Diceros bicornis minor: one gene and its partner. The main gene of each other region encodes a partner of the protein of the gene in region 2 in a complex. Links are inferred from orthologs where the notes say so. Each region holds a gene or a part of one and is shown on either strand. Other genes may lie near its edges.

Evidence for each region.
Region 1: the proteins of DDN (region 2) and MAGI2 are in contact, whole or in part, in a crystal structure (PDB 6KKG), measured with the Mus musculus proteins. The link is inferred for Diceros bicornis minor from reciprocal best matches to the Homo sapiens genes DDN and MAGI2. Residues at the interface, in NP_001013763.1 of Mus musculus: Asp222, Arg223, Pro224, Pro225, Pro226, Tyr227, Val228, Ala229, Pro230, Pro231, Ser232, Tyr233, His237, Arg238, Thr239, Leu240, Gly241; in NP_001164217.1 of Mus musculus: Glu308, Met309, Ala310, Tyr311, Thr312, Glu313, Gly315, Tyr318, Ile320, Asp321, His322, Lys325, Thr326, Thr327, Ser328, Trp329, Asp358, Tyr361, Tyr364, Val366, Asp367, His368, Arg371, Arg372, Thr373, Gln374, Phe375.

Annotation. Positions count from the first base shown.
Region 1 is NC_080742.1:16,781,889-16,790,468, forward strand, and holds the start of MAGI2 (membrane-associated guanylate kinase, WW and PDZ domain-containing protein 2), read right to left. Parts: upstream 3,305-8,580; 5' UTR 3,273-3,304; coding exon 3,215-3,272; intron 1-3,214. Other genes in the region: protein MEMO1-like, read left to right, coding at 7,188-8,081. UniProt on the Homo sapiens protein: Seems to act as a scaffold molecule at synaptic junctions by assembling neurotransmitter receptors and cell adhesion proteins. Plays a role in nerve growth factor (NGF)-induced recruitment of RAPGEF2 to late endosomes and neurite outgrowth.
Region 2 is NC_080756.1:20,644,323-20,652,561, reverse strand, and holds the start of DDN (dendrin), read right to left. Parts: upstream 3,427-8,239; coding exon 3,218-3,426; intron 2,809-3,217; coding exon 897-2,808; 3' UTR 1-896. Other genes in the region: PRKAG1 (5'-AMP-activated protein kinase subunit gamma-1), read right to left, coding at 7,226-7,330, 7,470-7,616, 7,887-7,924, 8,075-8,239. UniProt on the Homo sapiens protein: Promotes apoptosis of kidney glomerular podocytes. Podocytes are highly specialized cells essential to the ultrafiltration of blood, resulting in the extraction of urine and the retention of protein.

The DNA of each region.
Region 1 (8,580 bases), on a different chromosome or scaffold from region 2:
GACCCTACCAGCCCTGAAATGCTTCTCCAACAGGAGAGAATTGTATTTAGGTTACTGTTATTGTACCTTTCCTTTTACTCGTAGTCTAAACTAATCCTAACTGGCACCAGGCATAAAGAACTTAACACATTTACATCACCCATAATTAGCCACATTAACGTTAGCTCTTATTATTTTTGCTGTTGTTAGTGCTGAGGTAAAAAGTAATAAAAGCTCACTTTGGCAGTGGGGCAGGATGAGAAGAAAACTTCAGAATGCTGAGGAACTGGTTAAGCTACTTAAATAGGTCCTACTTTGGGACTGTAATGTTAATTTTCATTCCTCCTTAAATTTCTAAAACTAATTTTTTTATATTGTTCCAAATGCTGCCAAGATGGCTTGAGCCAGTATATTTGACATATGCCATAATCAAGGTTTCTCACACACCTGTCTGAAAGCCAGAGCCTGATCTGTGTTTGAGACCATGGAGTAAATGGACACATAAACTTGGGATGTGCCCAGGAGATGGGAGAGGGCAGGAAGAATTAATTTCCCTTCACAGTTTGTGCAATGTTATGGAAAAAGCAAGTGCTGTCTAAAGCTGCTGGCTTCTAAATAATCATTTGTTTATTTTCCCATTTCAGTAAAGAATTTAAGAGAGCATATTTAAAAAGTTCCGTTCTCTGACTCTTTGGAGGAAATATCAGCATGCCAGATACGTCTGTGAAGGGAGAACAGTTAGACAAATAAAAATTTGAACAGTAAATACATTTAAATGCAAGTTTTCCCTTTAGCAATTTCTGCTGTTTAAAAGGTAAAACTAGTGCCATTTTGTGAAAAATGGTTTTAAAAATCTAGGTGTCAGATAGTATATTAAGTTCAATTTTAGGATGAGAGCAAAATAAAATGCTTTTATATGTTATCCAAAAAAATAGAAAAATTGAGTATGATATAAAGTTCTAGGATAAAAAATGAGAAAATGAAAAAAAACTGCCAAAGGGCATTCTTAGAGATCTTTGACTCACCAATAGTGATATATATTTATCTTTAGAGAAAATAATATCAAATTCCACTGAAATTCAATGTTTTCAATAACTTTTTAAATCCCCTTTCAAAAAACAATACATACCAAAATTAGAAAATTTAGAAAATATGGTTAAGAAAAAATTTAAAAAGAAAGATCATGAATTAACCACTATAAATAATTGTGCACACGTCCATCCAGACTTTTCTCTTTCACATACATGTGTAAACATTTTTTACATGAATATTATACTGTATATGCGGTTTTATAAACTGCTTCTTTCTCTTTTGTAATAGATCCTTCTTTGAAACATCATTTTGAACGGTTGTGTATTATTCCATTGTATGTTTGTACCACAATTTATTGAACGCATTTGTTACAAATTAAAGTTGCTACTAATTAAAAAAACTCTTTTTAGGTTTATATATGCTCCTCTATGATAATTATCTTAGGATAAATCATAGAAGTAGGATTGTGTGGTCAAAGATAAGGCAAAATCCTAAGTCTTTTGATAAGGATAAGCAAACTGCCCTATAGAGATACTGCAAACTAATGAAACTTAGGCCAAGAGTGTAAGAGAGTTTCTGTTCTACTTCACTGTCACAATACTGAGATGTCTGTGACAGACAGACAGACAGACAGACGAGAAGCAGACAAAACTAGAGATAACATATGTTTTGGCCAATGTAATGTGCAAAAATGTTATGTCATTGTTTTCATTCAATTATTATTTATTGTGAGTTCAGTTAAGCAAATATATGTTTATTAGTCATTTGTATTTTTTTAACTTGTTTACCTCTTTGTTCATGTTCTGCTTTTTAAAAATTAATATTGATTCATAATAGTGCCTTATCTATTAAAAATACACTTAAATATTTTCTCCTGATTATGGTTTCACTTTAAATTTTGTCTACCATGTTATTTGTAAGTTTACTCTTCTGTGTAGTCAAATCGGTAGCTAGTTTCCTTTGGACTGTTTATGTTAATTTAAGAGAGGCATTTCCACTGCAATATTATAGTCATAGGTATTTTTTTTCTAGTTCTTCGTGTTTTTTAATTTTTTTCCAGTAAAATCTTTAATTCATCAAAAATTTATTTTGGTGTGGAGTAAGAAAGTAGATAGGGATCTACTTTAATTTCATTTTTAAAAAATGGTTACTCAATGAACATATAGGGGTGCAAATACCTTTTCAAATTAGTGTTTTCATGTTCTTTGGATAAATACCCAGAAGTGGAACAGCTGGATCATATGGTAGCTGTAGTCTTAATTTTTCAAGTTGCCATTTGTGACAACATGGATGGACCTTGAGAATATTATGCTAAGTGAAATAAGTCAGACGGAGAAAGTCAAATACCTTATGATTTCACTCATAAATAGAAGATAAAAACAGCAATAACAACAACAACAAACAAACACATAGATACAAAGATTAGATTGGTGGTTACCAGAGGGGAAGGGGAAGGGGGGGGAGGGCAAAAGGGCACAGGTGTATGGTGATGGATGGTAATTAGTCTTTGGGTGGTGAACATGACATAGCTACACAGAAATGAAATATAATGATGTACACCTGAAATTTATATAATGTTATAAACCAATGTTACCCAAAAAAAGAAAAAATAAATAAAATTAAACATTAAAAAAAAGGATTATTCATTTGTTCCAACAAAATATTTTAAGGCCTCATGCTTCTCCCACTGAGATAAAATGCCATTTTAACATATGGAAGGAAGTCAAGATGGCGGTGTAGGCAGCCTCTGAACTCACCTCCTCCGGCGGACACAGCCAATTTACAACTACTCGTGGGAAAATTACCCCTGAGACAGAACTGAAAACTGGATAAGAGGAACTCCTGCAACAACGGACAATCCTAACTGAGGTAGAAGAGGCAGAAACTCCCTTCTGGAGAGAAAAAACGCCGTCTTCACAAGCCGCCAGCTTCACAGGTACGCACCCTCCCTGGAGGAGCGGGGCCCCGAGTCGGGGAGCGCCCCCGCTGTGGAGATTTCGTGGACCCAGCACAATCGAGATGAGTGGCTTAATATCTGACTTGCCTGCTACTAAAACATTGGGGAGTACCCCCAGAAAAGCCGGTTCACAAAGAAACTAAAACTGGCTCTTAAAGGGCCCACGCGCAAAGTCACCCGTTTCAGAAAGCATCCTAAAATCACCAGAAAGAAAGGTGCACAGTGCTGCGGTGAAACGAGACTCACCTGAGAGGCCCTGAGTGCATCTCGGTGAGGGGTGAGACCTCTCCAGGGATTGGGACATTGGCGGCAGCCATTGTTGTGCCCTAGTGTGGGCGTGCTGACACAGACGCCATTGGAGTTCTCCCTGGGGCCTGCTAGCTCAGGGTCTGCCCCACCCGCTAGACCACCGATTTAATCCAGCTCAGCCAGGGTGGGCAGCCACCCTACAGACTGGCCCCACCCAACAACAAGCCCTCAAGCAACTTGTGGGCCTGCATAGATTGGTGACTGGATTCTCTGCAGCCTGGCAACTGAGCTGACTTTAGCGGGGCAGGGCATGCACAAGGAGCGGGTGGAGAGTGTGGGGCGGTGGCGGAGTGTGTGGGGCTCCCGCCGTGGAGAGACTGGGTCCGCTTGGGGAGGTCGGGGCGCGCACACGGGGCAGGAATGTGTTGACTGTGTGTATGGACCTGTGGGCAGCAGGGCTTGTCAGCTGCAGAAGACTTGTGCTGCTCAAAGACCCACATAGGGGGTTTGCCCCACCTTCCAAAGCCTGAAACAATTGGGTGCTCCTGTGCCTGAGGCCAGCCCCACCCAGCTGCAATCCTCAGAGAGCTGACAAGAGACCTAATAGGCTAGAGGCTTACAGCAATTGTAAGGCCCTGAGCCTAACAACCTGCCACGCTGGGGGCCTACTCACTTAAAAGAAATACTGCAACACAAATGTGGTATTAGAACTTGCAGCCAACTGTGCTTGGGCTCCCCACACCTGGTAAAGACACTGAAGGGCCCACAACAACTACAAGCAGCTGAGCATTACAACAGCTGGCCAGGAGCATTAACTCGGCCTCCCTGGGCACCTACAGGGAGAGCAAACAGGCCACAACAGAAGGCCAAATGTAGCCCACATAGGGATCAACGCTGGAACATTGAGAACTGAGGGAAGGACACTGGAGGCCTCCTAAGGCATCACTTACATAAGGTCACCTATCCAAGAGCAGGAGACGTAGCTGGCCTACCTAATACGTAGACACAAGCACAGGGAAAGAGGCAAAATGAGGAGGCAAAAGAATACATTCCAAGTAAGGGAACAGGACAAAACCCCAGAAAAGGAACTAAGTGAAACAGAAATGAGCAACCTACCCGACAGAGAGTTCAAACAAAGAGTGTTAAGGATGCTCACTGATGTGGGGAGAAGAATAGATGAACTCAGTGAGAATGTCAACAAAAAAATGGAAGATATAAAAAAGAACCAATCAGAAATGAAGAATACAATACTGGAAATGAAAAATTCATTAGAGGGACTCAAAAGCAGAGTAGAGGATACAGAAGAATGGATCTGTGAGCTGGACGAAAGACTAGAAGAAATTACCCAAGCTGAACAGGTAAAAAAGAAAAGAGTTAAAAAGAGTGCGGACAGTCTAAGGGACCGCTGGGACAACATCAAGTGCACTAACATCCGTGTTATAGGTGTCCTGGCAGGAGAAGAGCGAGACAAGGGGGCAGAGAATCTATTTCAAGAAATAATAGATGAAAACTTCCCTAACCTTAGGAAGGAAACCGACATCCAGGTACAGGAAGCACAGAGAGGCCCAAACAAGATAAATCCAAAGAGGCCCACACCAAGACACATCATAATCAAAATGTCCAGAATTAAAGATAAAGAGAGAATCCTAAAAGCTGCCAGAGAAAGTCAAGTTACATACAAAGGAAACCCCATAAGGCTATCAGCTGACTTCTCAGCAGAAACCTTACTGGCTAGAAGAGAGTGGCACGATATATTTAAAGTATTAAAAGGAAAAAACTTACAGCCAAGAATACTCTACCCAGCAAGGTTATCATTCAAAATGGAAGGAGAGATCAAAAATTTCCAAGACAAGCAAAAATTAAAGGAGCTTGTCAACAAGAAACCAGTGCTACAAGAAATGTTAAAGGGACTGATTTAAGGGGAAAAGAGAAGACCACAAATAGGAAAAATTATCTATTTCCATGATAAGAACGTAATGGATACAAATGCACAAAAAAGAGGTTACATACGATATCAAAAACATAAAAGGAGGGAGGAGGGGAGTTACAGAGTACAGCTTTCAGACAGAGGTCAAACTAAAGTGACCATCAATTCTGTATAGAAGAAGAAAGGAATAGAGAAGGACTACTAAAACACTGAGAGAAAAAAAAAAAAGTTAAAAAATGGCAGTAAGTACATACTTATCAATAGCTACTTTAAACGTCAATGGACTAAATGCCCCAATTAAAAGGCATTGGGTTGCTGATGGGATAAAAAAACAAGACCCATATATATGCTGCATACAAGAGATACACTTCAGACCTAAAGACACTCACAAACTGAAAGTGAAGAGATGGAAAAAGATACTCCATGCAAATAGCAATGAAAAGAAAGCTGGGGTAGCAGTACTCATATCAGACAAAATAGACTTTAAAACAAAAACTGTAAAAAGAGACAAAGAAGGGCATTACATAATGATCAAGGGAACAATCCAACAAGAGGACATAACGCTTGCAAATATCTACACACCCAATGTAGGTGCACCTAAATATATAAAGCAATTATTAACAGACACAAAAACGGAAATAGACTAACACAATAATAGTAGGGGACTTTAACACTCCACTTACACCAACGGATAGATCATCCAAACAGAAGATCAATAAGGAAACATTGGCCTTAAACGACACACTAGAACAGATGGACCTAGTAGATATCTACAGAGCATTCCATCCAAAAACTGAAGAATACACGTTCTTTTCAAATGCACATGGAACATTCTCCAGGATTGATCACATATTAGGCCACAAAACAAGTCTCCATAAATTTAAGAAGACTGAAATAATACCAAGCATCTTTTCTGACCACAACGGTATGAAACTAGAAATCAACTATAGGAAGAAAATCAGAAAAGCCACAAATACGTGGAGATTAAACAAAATGCTACTGAACAATGACTGGGTCAAGGAAGATATCAAAGAAGAAATCAAAAAATACCTGGAGACAAATGAAAATGAAAATACGACATGCCAGAATTTATGGGATACAGCAAAAGCGGTTCTAAGAGGGAAGTTTATAGGAATACAGGCCTATCTCAACAAACAAGAAAAATCTCAAATAAACAATCTAACAATGCACCTAAAGGAACTGGAAAAAGAAGAACAAACCAAGCCCAAAATCAGTAGAAGAAGGGAAATAATAAAAATCAGAGCAGAAATAAATGAAATAGAGACCAAAAAAAAACAGAAAAAATTAATAAAACCAAGAGCTGGTTCTTTGAAAAGATTAATGAAATTGACAAACGTTTAGCTAGACTCACCAAGAAAAAAAGACAGAAGGCACAACTAAGTAAAATCAGAAAAGAAAGAGGAGAAATTACAACAGACACCTCAGAAATACAAAAGATTATAAGAGAATACTATGAAAAGCTATATGCCAACCAATTCTACAATCTGGAAGAAATGGATAAATTCTTAGAATCATACAACCTTCCAAAACTGGATCAAGAAGAAGCAGAGAATTGAATAGACCAATCACCAGTAAGGAGATCGAAACAGTAATCAAAAACCTCCCCAAAAATGAAAGTCCAGGAGTCCCGAGGGGGTGGGCGTGGAGTCACGGGGGTGGGGTCACCGGCGGTGGCTCAGGGAGGTGGACGGGGCGGGGAGGGGGCCGTGGGGGCGGCTGGCGGAACCAGTCCGGGCTGGGGAGCAGCGGCGACGCCGGAGATCCGGGGCCAGGGCTTTCCGGGCTTCAGCGAAGCCGCCCGCGGGCCCCATCTTCCGGCGGTCGCAGTAGTTTGTGGTGATTGTTGCTGCCGCCGCCACCGCCCCGACTACCATCTCCTCCTCCTGGGCCTGGCTGATCCCCTCCCCGCTGCCGCCTCCTCCTGGGCCCGCGGTGTCTCATCCCCTCGCGGAGCCGCTCCTGCAGCTGCCACCGCCGCCTCCTCATTCATCCTCGCGCACCATAGGCGGCACAGGCACCAAGATGTCCAACCGAGTGGTCTGCCAGGAAGCCAGTCACGCTGGGAGCTGGTACACAGCCTCAGGACCGCAGCTGAATGCACAGCTAGAAGGTTGGCTTTCACAAGTACAGTCTACAAAAAGACCTGCTCGAGCCATTGTTGCACCCCATGCAGGATATACCTACTGTGGGTCTTGTGCTGCTCGTGCTTACAAACAAGTGGATCCATCTATTACCCGGAGAATTTTCATCCTTGGGCCTTCTCATCATGTGCCCCTCTCTCGATGTGCACTTTCCAGTGTGGATATATATAGGACACTTTTGTATGACCTTCGTATTGACCAAAGGATTTACGGAGAACTATGGAAGACAGGAATGTTTGAACGCATGTCTCTGCAGACAGATGAAGATGAACACAGTATTGAAATGCATTTGCCTTATACAGCTAAAGCCATGGAAAGCCATAAAGATGAGTTTACCATTATTCCTGTACTGGTTGGAGCTCTGAGTGAGTCAAAAGAACAGGAATTCGGAAAACTCTTCAGTAAATATCTAGCGGATCCTAGTAATCTCTTTGTGGTTTCTTCTGATTTCTGCCATTGGGGTCAAAGGTTCCGTTACAGTTACTATGATGAATCCCAGGGGGAGATTTATAGATCCATTGAACATCTAGATAAAATGGGTATGAGTATTATAGAACAATTAGACCCTGTATTTTTTAGCAATTACTTGAAGAAGTATCATAATACTCTATGTGGAAGACATCCCATTGGGGTGTTATTAAATGCTATCACAGAGCTCCAGAAGAATGGAATGAATATGAGCTTTTCCTTTTTGAATTATGCCCAGTCAAGCCAGTGTAGAAACTGGCAAGACAGTTCAGTGAGTTATGCAGCTGGAGCACTCACAGTCCACTGAAGCTCTGAATCCTCAGGGATGCCACCTGCACATACTCATATTCTGTCTGGGGTCCCAGCCTAGCCCTTACCAAGATACCGGTCCTGGTTTGGAGTGATTCTGAAACCTCAAACTAATAGAACTTTCTTCTCTTCTTTTCTAGTAGGTGTAGTCCTTCCTTAATTTCAACTCATTAAAAAATGCTTTATAGTTTAGGGCAGTGAAAGGAAGGCTGGCATCAAAATATATTGATCAAAAAAGATGGCAAGGTAAGACCCAGTTGTGGCAGAGAGTTTTTTGAAAGTAACTGGTAAAGCATTTACAATATCCTAAATTTGCACTCTTTGCAGACTTGTGCAAATATATTCCGCTTTCAGAATAGTTTTGCAAATTGTACACGAACAAACAAAAAAGGGTGGAAGCTTTTTAATAAAGAAATTGCATTTATAAATGATCTGTATTAGAATATGATAAATCACCAGTTACAGTCAATTACTACCCGTGTTGTACAACAGATACC
Region 2 (8,239 bases):
AGAGGTCCCAAGCTGATTCATTGGCTGCCTTCCCTCCCCAGCTCGGACCGCTACAGGCCAGGGACAGTGACAAGGCCACCATCCTGCCCTGCCTTGGGGAGCGCTCATCTAAACCTGATAGGAGCCCTTGTCCACTCACTCAGCTCTTGTGCAAATCCTGGACAGTCTTGAATTGAGAATGAGTGCAGGTGACAATGAAGCCACCAGGAACCCTCAGACTCTGTTCACTTATTCCTAACTCTTTCTCGGCTTGTGGAAGGGAAGATGAAATAAAAAGCCTCTCCAAAGGCTCCAAAACGTCAGGGATGGACCTTAGAACTCCCTCATTTTACATCCTAAGAGTCCTGGAGAGGGGAAGTGACTTGCCTAAGGTCACCCAGCAAGTCAGTGTTCGAGTTGGGATTGGAGCCCAACACTTGTGACACCAAAGTGAGCCCTCTTCCTCCTTTTCTGGTTGCTTCTGCTTTCCTCTTCTGCCAAGGGCTTCTCTGTCACCTGGTTACCTCAGTCCAAAGCCTCTCCATCACTTTCTCCCTCCTGCCCAGAGGCCCTGCCCTCAACTTGCCCTCCTATGACTATAGCATCCCTGCCCTCCTGCCTGATGCTGGCCACGCCTCTCTGCTCAACTGCACACCTGGTGCATCAGCTTCTGCTGAAGACCTTACTCCAGTGCCCGGAACAGAGCAGGCCTTAAGGTCTATTGCTCACCCACTTCTCCTGAAAAAAAAAAAAATCATGAATCGGCATATGCTCCCTTTCCTTTCGTTTGTGCGGCTTCTATTTCGAGTATGGGAACGGATATGAGTAAGGGGTACAAGGAAGTCTGTGAAGAAGAAAGGGGACCGGTGGGCCCGAGGATGGAGGGGTTGGGCAACACAAATACAAGAAAAAGCCTCTCACTGCCGCTCCCTATTTCCCTGCGGGGTCCCTTTAGGGTCCCTAGCCCCGAAGAGGGCCTCCCCGGTTTGGCTGATGACGTCTAGAATCTCTCGGATACTGTCGCTCAGCTCTGTCTTCCCACCTTCCCGGGGCCAGGTCTGCTCATTCCGCCAGGCGGCGCCCGAGGCTTCTGTGTCGCTTCCATCAGAAGAGCCGCTATGGACGCTGAGCTCCGCAGCTTCGTCCGAGTCCGAGTCCGGGGCGGTGTGGCGGCGGATGCGGGACACGGCTTCCCGCAGGGCCCCGGCGTAGGGCCCCGGGGTCCGCGCCCAGCCCCGGCCCGCGCGCAGCGGGACCGCCGCCACTTCCTGCGAGCCCTCGGCACCGCCCGCGCCTCCCGAAGCTGCTGGGCCTAAGGCTGAGTGCTCTGGGCTACCTGGCTGCATGGGGGCGTCCTGCAGGTTTACTTCGTCCACCGGGAGCCCCAAGATGCGGGAGGCGCGCTCTTCCAATGAGGAGTCCGCAGGCTTCCCGCCCTCAGCTTCGAACTCGCGCCCCCCACCAGGCTGGTGTGAAAGGCGTTGGCTGCTCAACAGCAGCTTTTGGCGAGGGGAGGGAAAGCCCGCGGTTGCCTCGCCCTCCTCCTTTTTGGGCTTCAGTTGGCTGGGGGCATCCTCCACAACGCGCGGCACCGCAGAGGACAAAAGCTGCACATGCTGAGTACGAGGGGTCGGAACATACTGGGACCGTATCACCACGCACGTGGCGTCAATGACAAAGACACCTTCTCCAGGAGCGGGGCCTCGGGAACTGCGGGGCAGGGTGTGGGCGCGGCGGGTCACTTTCCAACCCTCCAAGGTCTTGGGTCCTGCCCCTTCTCTATGACCCAGGGACTCTCTCCATCCCGTGCCTCCTGGAGCCCAGGGCCTGGGGAGGGTCTGGCTATGTCGGAGAGCCTGCTTTTTAAGGGAGGGAATCCAGCATTTGGGGAGCCAGCTCTGTTCTCTACCTTCTTTCCCTTCCCCGGAGCCCTTGAGCTGGGGCCTGGACCTGGGAGCGGGACGCGGGGGGCTGGGAGTCGCAGCTGCAGGCCCCGCGGGAGCTGTCTCCGTGCCTGGGCTCCCAACAGCTTTGGCTTGGGCACGGCCGTCGCTACCACTGTTCAGGCCAGCAGCAGCCAGCCCCAGGCTTTTCTCCGCGGCCCCCTTGCCGGACTCCAGCCTTGGCCTGGCTGTTCCACAGCCTGGGGAGCCTCCCAAAAGACCTCGCCCCTGTCGGAGACCCCAAGCCCCAAGGACGTCCCGGTAGATCCGAGGATCCAGCTTCTTCTTTGCGCACCCTCCCTCTGTCCTGGCTGGAGTGGGAGCAGGGGCTGACGAGGCGGGGACCTGGGAGGGCTCGGAGCCTCGCTTGGTCCCCAAGGTCCTGTGGGGGCCTTCGTAAGAAGGTGGAGCCACGTAGGGTGGCGGCCGGTCCCAGCGGCGTCTCGGGGCTGCCCCGGCAGCGCCTCTCAGCAGCAGGTGAGCCTCGTAGCTGGGGGGGCCTGGCCGCCGACCTCCCCAGGGCCTCGCCCACGCCGCCCCTGGGTCGCTCTGCGGCTGCGCGAATGGACGGGGCGGTCGCCCCACCAGCCCCAGGCGCTCCGGCCGGGAGGGAGCTGGGAGCCCTGCAGGCTGGGCCACCCGAGGGGCGTTCCGAGGTTCCGGGCGGGGCCGACCCAGGGGGCTCCTTCGGGCCCCACCAGCCTTGCGCCTTTTTCGCTCGGTCTCCTTGGCCTCCCGCTCCTGCGATGCTGCTTTCCTTTTCTCTTGCTCCCGGGCTCGGACCTCGGCCGGGGGCCCCGCCCGCCAGTTGGTCGCCTCCTGCAGCACCCTGGAGGCCCAGGGCCGGCGGGGCAGCGGCTCAGGGGATCCCGGGCGCGGCCCACACCTGGGACAATGAGCAGGAACCCAGGTGAGCAGTTTGTGGGGGAAGGGAGCCGAGGTCCGGGGAGCTGGGAGCATTGGAGACCATTTGGGGCAGCCGTGTGGAGGGGTGTGTGTGAGTGTGTGCGCGTGTGCACGTGCGTATATGTTAGGGCTGAAGTCGAAGCGGGACTCCTCACCATCTCTCCATGCACACTTTAACAGCGTCTGCCCCATCTCACCTCCTGCCCTTTTTCACGCCCACTCCTGTCCCCCCAAAACAACGCGGGGTGAATCAGGCCCCAGCCCTCGGGATTGAGGGGGAAGCGTGGGAAAGAGAAGGGGGACCAGCAGCGCTGGCTGGTGCCTGCGGGGAGGTCTGGACCCCACTCCCCGCCCCACCACTCTATTCCCCTCACCCGTCCTTCACTCACGTGCGGCTCTGGGGCCCTCGAGCCCAGTAGCTGGCCTGGTAGTCCATGGGCTGTCGAGGAGGGGCACGGCGACTATAATGACAGGAAATAGTCTTCACTTGGATCACCAGCAGCTTGGATTTCTGCACCCAGAGGCAGCTGCCAGATTCTTCATCCTGGAGCTCCCCGGGGCTGTCGGGCCCCTCGCAGAATAGCTGGCCATCCAGCATCCTGCCCCACCCCACCCCGGCCCCCCACCCTCCCACCCGCCCCGAAAGCCCCCTCCCAGCCCAGGGAGCTGGCGCCCACTGCAGAGCGGCGGGCCCAGTGACTGGGGACTATATATACCCAGGCACACGTGTGTGCCTGTCTGTGTGTGTGCGCGCGCGCGCATGTGACACGGCGCAGACGGCTCGGCGCTGCTACCTCCCCCGTGTGCACGGCCGCCCCCTGGGGCCTGGGATTGGGGGCCCCTTCCCACTGCTCTTGTACCCCAAGCCTGATGGGACCTGCACGAGTGGGCAGGGGACTTCTTATTCCTGCCAAGCTGATAGTGCCCCGGTCCCCATCCTAATTTCTTCAACCTTCCTGCCGTTTTAACCCTTCACTCTCTTGCCTGTCAGGGTGACTGACCACCAGCGTTCTGCCTCTGACTTCCTGCCCCGGACTTCAGTTTCCCCGACAGGGAGGTGATGAGAATGGAACTCAAGGTCTCTGCCTGCCACTGTCTGCTGGTTTCCATGGGGTTGGGGTGCAGGAGGGGCTGGCCCAGGGTGGGGGGCTATTTTTAGCGGCAGTGGCATTCGGGTGCAGAGAGATGAGTAACCAGCTTGAATGCGGTGGAGGGAGGAGGCGGTGGCTTTCACGCAGCTTTTGTGTGACTCTGGGGGAGAGCTGCCTCCCTCAACCTCAACAACGGTGACCCCTACACCCTCAACTTCTTATCCTCTCAGTGTTGCAGTCCAGGGCTGCTGGTACAGCGGGACACAGGATCCTGTCTTGGCCATCAAAGCCGCCCCACACTTGCATTCTAAGATGTTTGTCCTTGACCACCCATGGAGCCCTCTCCCCCCAACAATCCAGAAGCCAGGATTTTGGGGTCATATTGTTTTATGCCCACACAGCTCTGCTATGCACTTGCACCCTTTCAGAGGGGATGGAGAAGGAATGGTGTGCTCCCTTGGCAAAACCAATCCCCTAGCAACTGAAATGATAAAAGTGGCCCCCATTTCCCAGTGCAGAGCTACCTGTCCCCACTATCACAATGCTTGGCTCACTCAGCCCCCACCTGAAGTGGTGCTCGAGATGCTCACCTTCTAGGCTCATTCTGTCCTGGGGGGTTGTTGCTTACATCCACATGATCCCTCCCCCCAAGCCTATACCAGGTGTCCCATGATTCACCATGGTAATGTTAGTGGCAGCACAGCCCACGCCAACCCTTCCATGCAGACTTAGCAACCATGCCTGGCAACCATGGCAGCAGCTCCAGTGGAGGGGAGGAGTGAGGGGAGGTGGGGGAAGGAGTGTGTATGGTGATAGTTTCTGAGGAAGAAGGGATAATTTGCCTCTCCTGAGAGGAATAAGTAAGACTAGAAGCCTCCCAAATTTTGTCCCTTGTCTTCTGCTCCATCCTCAGACTCTGAGACTGATTGGTTGGGTTTTAGGGAGAAATGGGAAAAGCAAGAGATCTTAATTTGTTTCTCACTAAAGTACATGCAGCCCTTTGGGTACAGACATTTCCTTTTAAGGGGATGGGGCCAGGAGGGTTGTTGTGGGGCAAAGACTGACTTACTGAGAACCACAACAAAACCCAGGCCTCCTGCTCCCTAACATGGGCCATTCGAGAGAACCCAAACGTCCCCTATCCCATCCACTTGACCCCCCTTGAATCCATACACCTACCAGCTGCACTGACGGCTCTTTGCTTGAAGGTGCTTCCTTCCACCCAGGTCACACCAGAGTCCTAAGGCTTTTTAAAGCCTTTGCCTCCTCCCTAGACAAACCCTCTTCATGATGGAATGTGACATAAGGAGACATCTGTCCCTTCCACCATGCACCCACCCACACACACATAAACATACCCTCATTCTAATAACTTGGAAGCCTCCCTCCCTCAAGTCTGGGAATGTGCTGTGAGAGCTGGAAAAGAGGTGACTGCATGAGCAGGGGCTTCTCCAAGGCCATGAGGCAGCACTGAGAGCTGAGCTCTGATGAGTGCCTTGATACCTTTCCCCGTTCCAGTAGGAAGCCTGGTTTGGAGGAACAAGTACAGTATGGCTGGTTTCATTAGAGTTCTTAGGGGCAGTACAGGGAGGGGCAAGGAGTTACTCTGCAAGTGCTTCAGGTCCTGGACAGGAAATGGTATCATACCCGCCAGGCAGTGGTGAGACAGTGCCCAGAATTTGGCTCATACCCATCGACTAGCAGTCCTTATGGTCTGTGGTGCCGACTACTGTTTTGGTTTCAGCACAGGGAAAGGGTCTGATGGGGTGACCACGGTCCTGCTGCTCCCCACCTCCCAGCGCATTCTCAGCTTGGAAGAAAGGCAAAGGATTTGTAGACTCAAAGACAGTGTCAGCTGAGCAAACTCCAGAGTCCAACCTTTCCTAAGAAAAGTTGATGGTAGTGGCAGGTCTCCCTGCCTAAAGGAGACCCTCAGTCTGTCTACTTTCTGGAGACCTAACACTATTACTGGATTTTTCTTGGGTCCCAGCTATGGTCCAGGCAGAGGGGAAAGTGAGGTAATAAGGAGGATTGCAGGGAATTGGGTGGGGAACAGTTATGAACGGAGAATTAGAAAGACGGTAAGTCTAGTGAATGGTAAAGAGATGAGCTCTGGAGCCAGACTGTTTGGGTTCAAATCCTCGCTCTACTTTTTACTAGCCGTGTGGCCTCGGACTAGTTATTTAGCTTCTCTAAGCCTCAGCTTTTTTTAAATCTGCAAAACTGGAATAGTATCTACTATTGTTTTGAGGATTAAGTGAATTAATATATGTAAAGCACTGAGAATCATGCCTGGCACACAGCTGTATATATGTGTGTGTGAGCTATTATTTTTTTTTTTTGTGAGGAGATCAGCCCTGAGCTAACATCCGCCAATCTTCCTCTTTTTTTTTTTTTTTTTTTTTTTCCGCTGAGGAAGACGGCCCTGGGCTAACATCAGTGCCCATCTTCCTCCACTTTATATGGGACGCCGCCACAGCATGGCTTACCAAGCAGTGCGTCGGTGCGCGCCCGGGATCCGAACCAGCGAACCCCGGGCCGCCGCAGCGGAGCGCGCGCACTTAACCGCTTGCGCCACCGGGCCGGCCCCGTGAGCTATTATTATTGTTATTAATGATGAGTTGAAAAAGCTGTACGAACTAGGACGGCTGGAGCAGTAGTGTCTATCAACTAAAAATCAAAGACTGCAATACCATGACGAGGTTCCCGTCATTTTAATTAGGTTTGCCATGAGAAGCAATAACCTCAGCTAACCACTCTGCCCTCCTCCTCCACCTAACCCCCTTCTCCCTTCATATGCACACAGCACAGGGACCCAAAGGCCCTCCTCCCCACTCCCATTATGGGAAGAAATGTCACTAAATGGACTCAGCCCCCTCATACAGCATGAAACAGGATGAATAAAAATATCTCGAGTTTTGTTGTCCTATTATCTAGGGTGGAGTCAGGGGCAGAGATACAGGCAAAGGCTGGGTGAGGTCTGGGGATCTCTTAGAGATCAGAATTTGCCTGAGGAGCACAGAGCCCATAGTTCACCCAGAAAGGGGGCTATGTCTAAGAGGACAGACGCTAGGATGGGCTAGGCTGAAAGTTTTCCTCAAGTGTATGTGTGAGGACAAGGACAGCTAAAAATCCATTCTCCTTCCTCCCCCAACACCTTCCCCAGCTCCCAGGTGGAAGGGTAGGGGGCTGCAGAGCAGGGAACAGAGTCACAATTCTCTCAAGGTTTCATCTGTGGCTCCCAGAGCCTCGGGCGGGCAGTGAGTGGGGCACAGCCCCTGGTGATGCCTGACCCCTTGCCCCAGCTCAGGGCTTCTCTCCGCCTGTGAGCACCAGGGCCTGCAGGATGTCAGACAGTGATACAATTCCCTTGACCACATCATTCTCATCCACCACTACAAGTCGGTGAACCTGGCATAGAGCAACAAGGGAGAAAGGGATGTTTAGTGCCAGCCTCAGTTAGGGTGAGCCTTTTCGCCCCTACCCTCCTTGCCGAACCCCACTCTCAAGGCTGCTCCCCCCAGCTCCTCTTGGGTCACTGGCCCCCTACCTCTGCTTCCACCAGCCTGTTGATTATGGTCTCCAGAGTCTCATGCAGGTAGCACTTGAGGACACCCTCAAAGTAATGCGATCGATGTTGCAGGGCTTTGGTCACAGACACATCTAGGTTGTTGTAGGTCTTTTCTGCTGCCAGATTCTGGAGAGAGAGAGGAAGGTGCTTGCAGGGAAGCAAAGAAGCCAGCCCCCAAACCCTGAGCACCCCTCCAACCTCACCAGCGGGATTTAGGGCAGTTGTCAGCCATGCCCACAAGCTCCACCCAGCTCATTCAATTCCTTTTCAAATAGGATTTGAAAGCTTGGAGGCTTCTAAAACCCATAGGTCCCAGAAGAGACTCTCTTCTTCTCCCTTTCCACATTCAACACCCCGCCCGTTTCCCTACCTCCCAGCCCCTCCACAATCACTCACGATAACATCAAACTTGGAGTAGATGTCCACCACACGCCCTAGGGGGACAGAGGCAGCTCAGCAAGGAGGATCTGGCATCCAAGGCTCCCTCTGCCCATAGAATCACACTCCGGGCTGTGCTAAGCGATTTTCCCAGAGCCACCCTGGCTTCCCTGGAGCCCTCCCTCTCCTTCTGCCCAATCTCTCACCTTTCTCATCCACCACTGGCAGGGCTGAGACTCGGTGCTGTACAAAGATGCCCAGAGCCACATAGACAGGGGTGGTAGTGCGGACCATGGCAATGTTGGCATAGGTGCCAATCTGTAGCTCTTCCAGAGACTTGGACATGAACTCTGGCTTGGGGAACTCAGTGA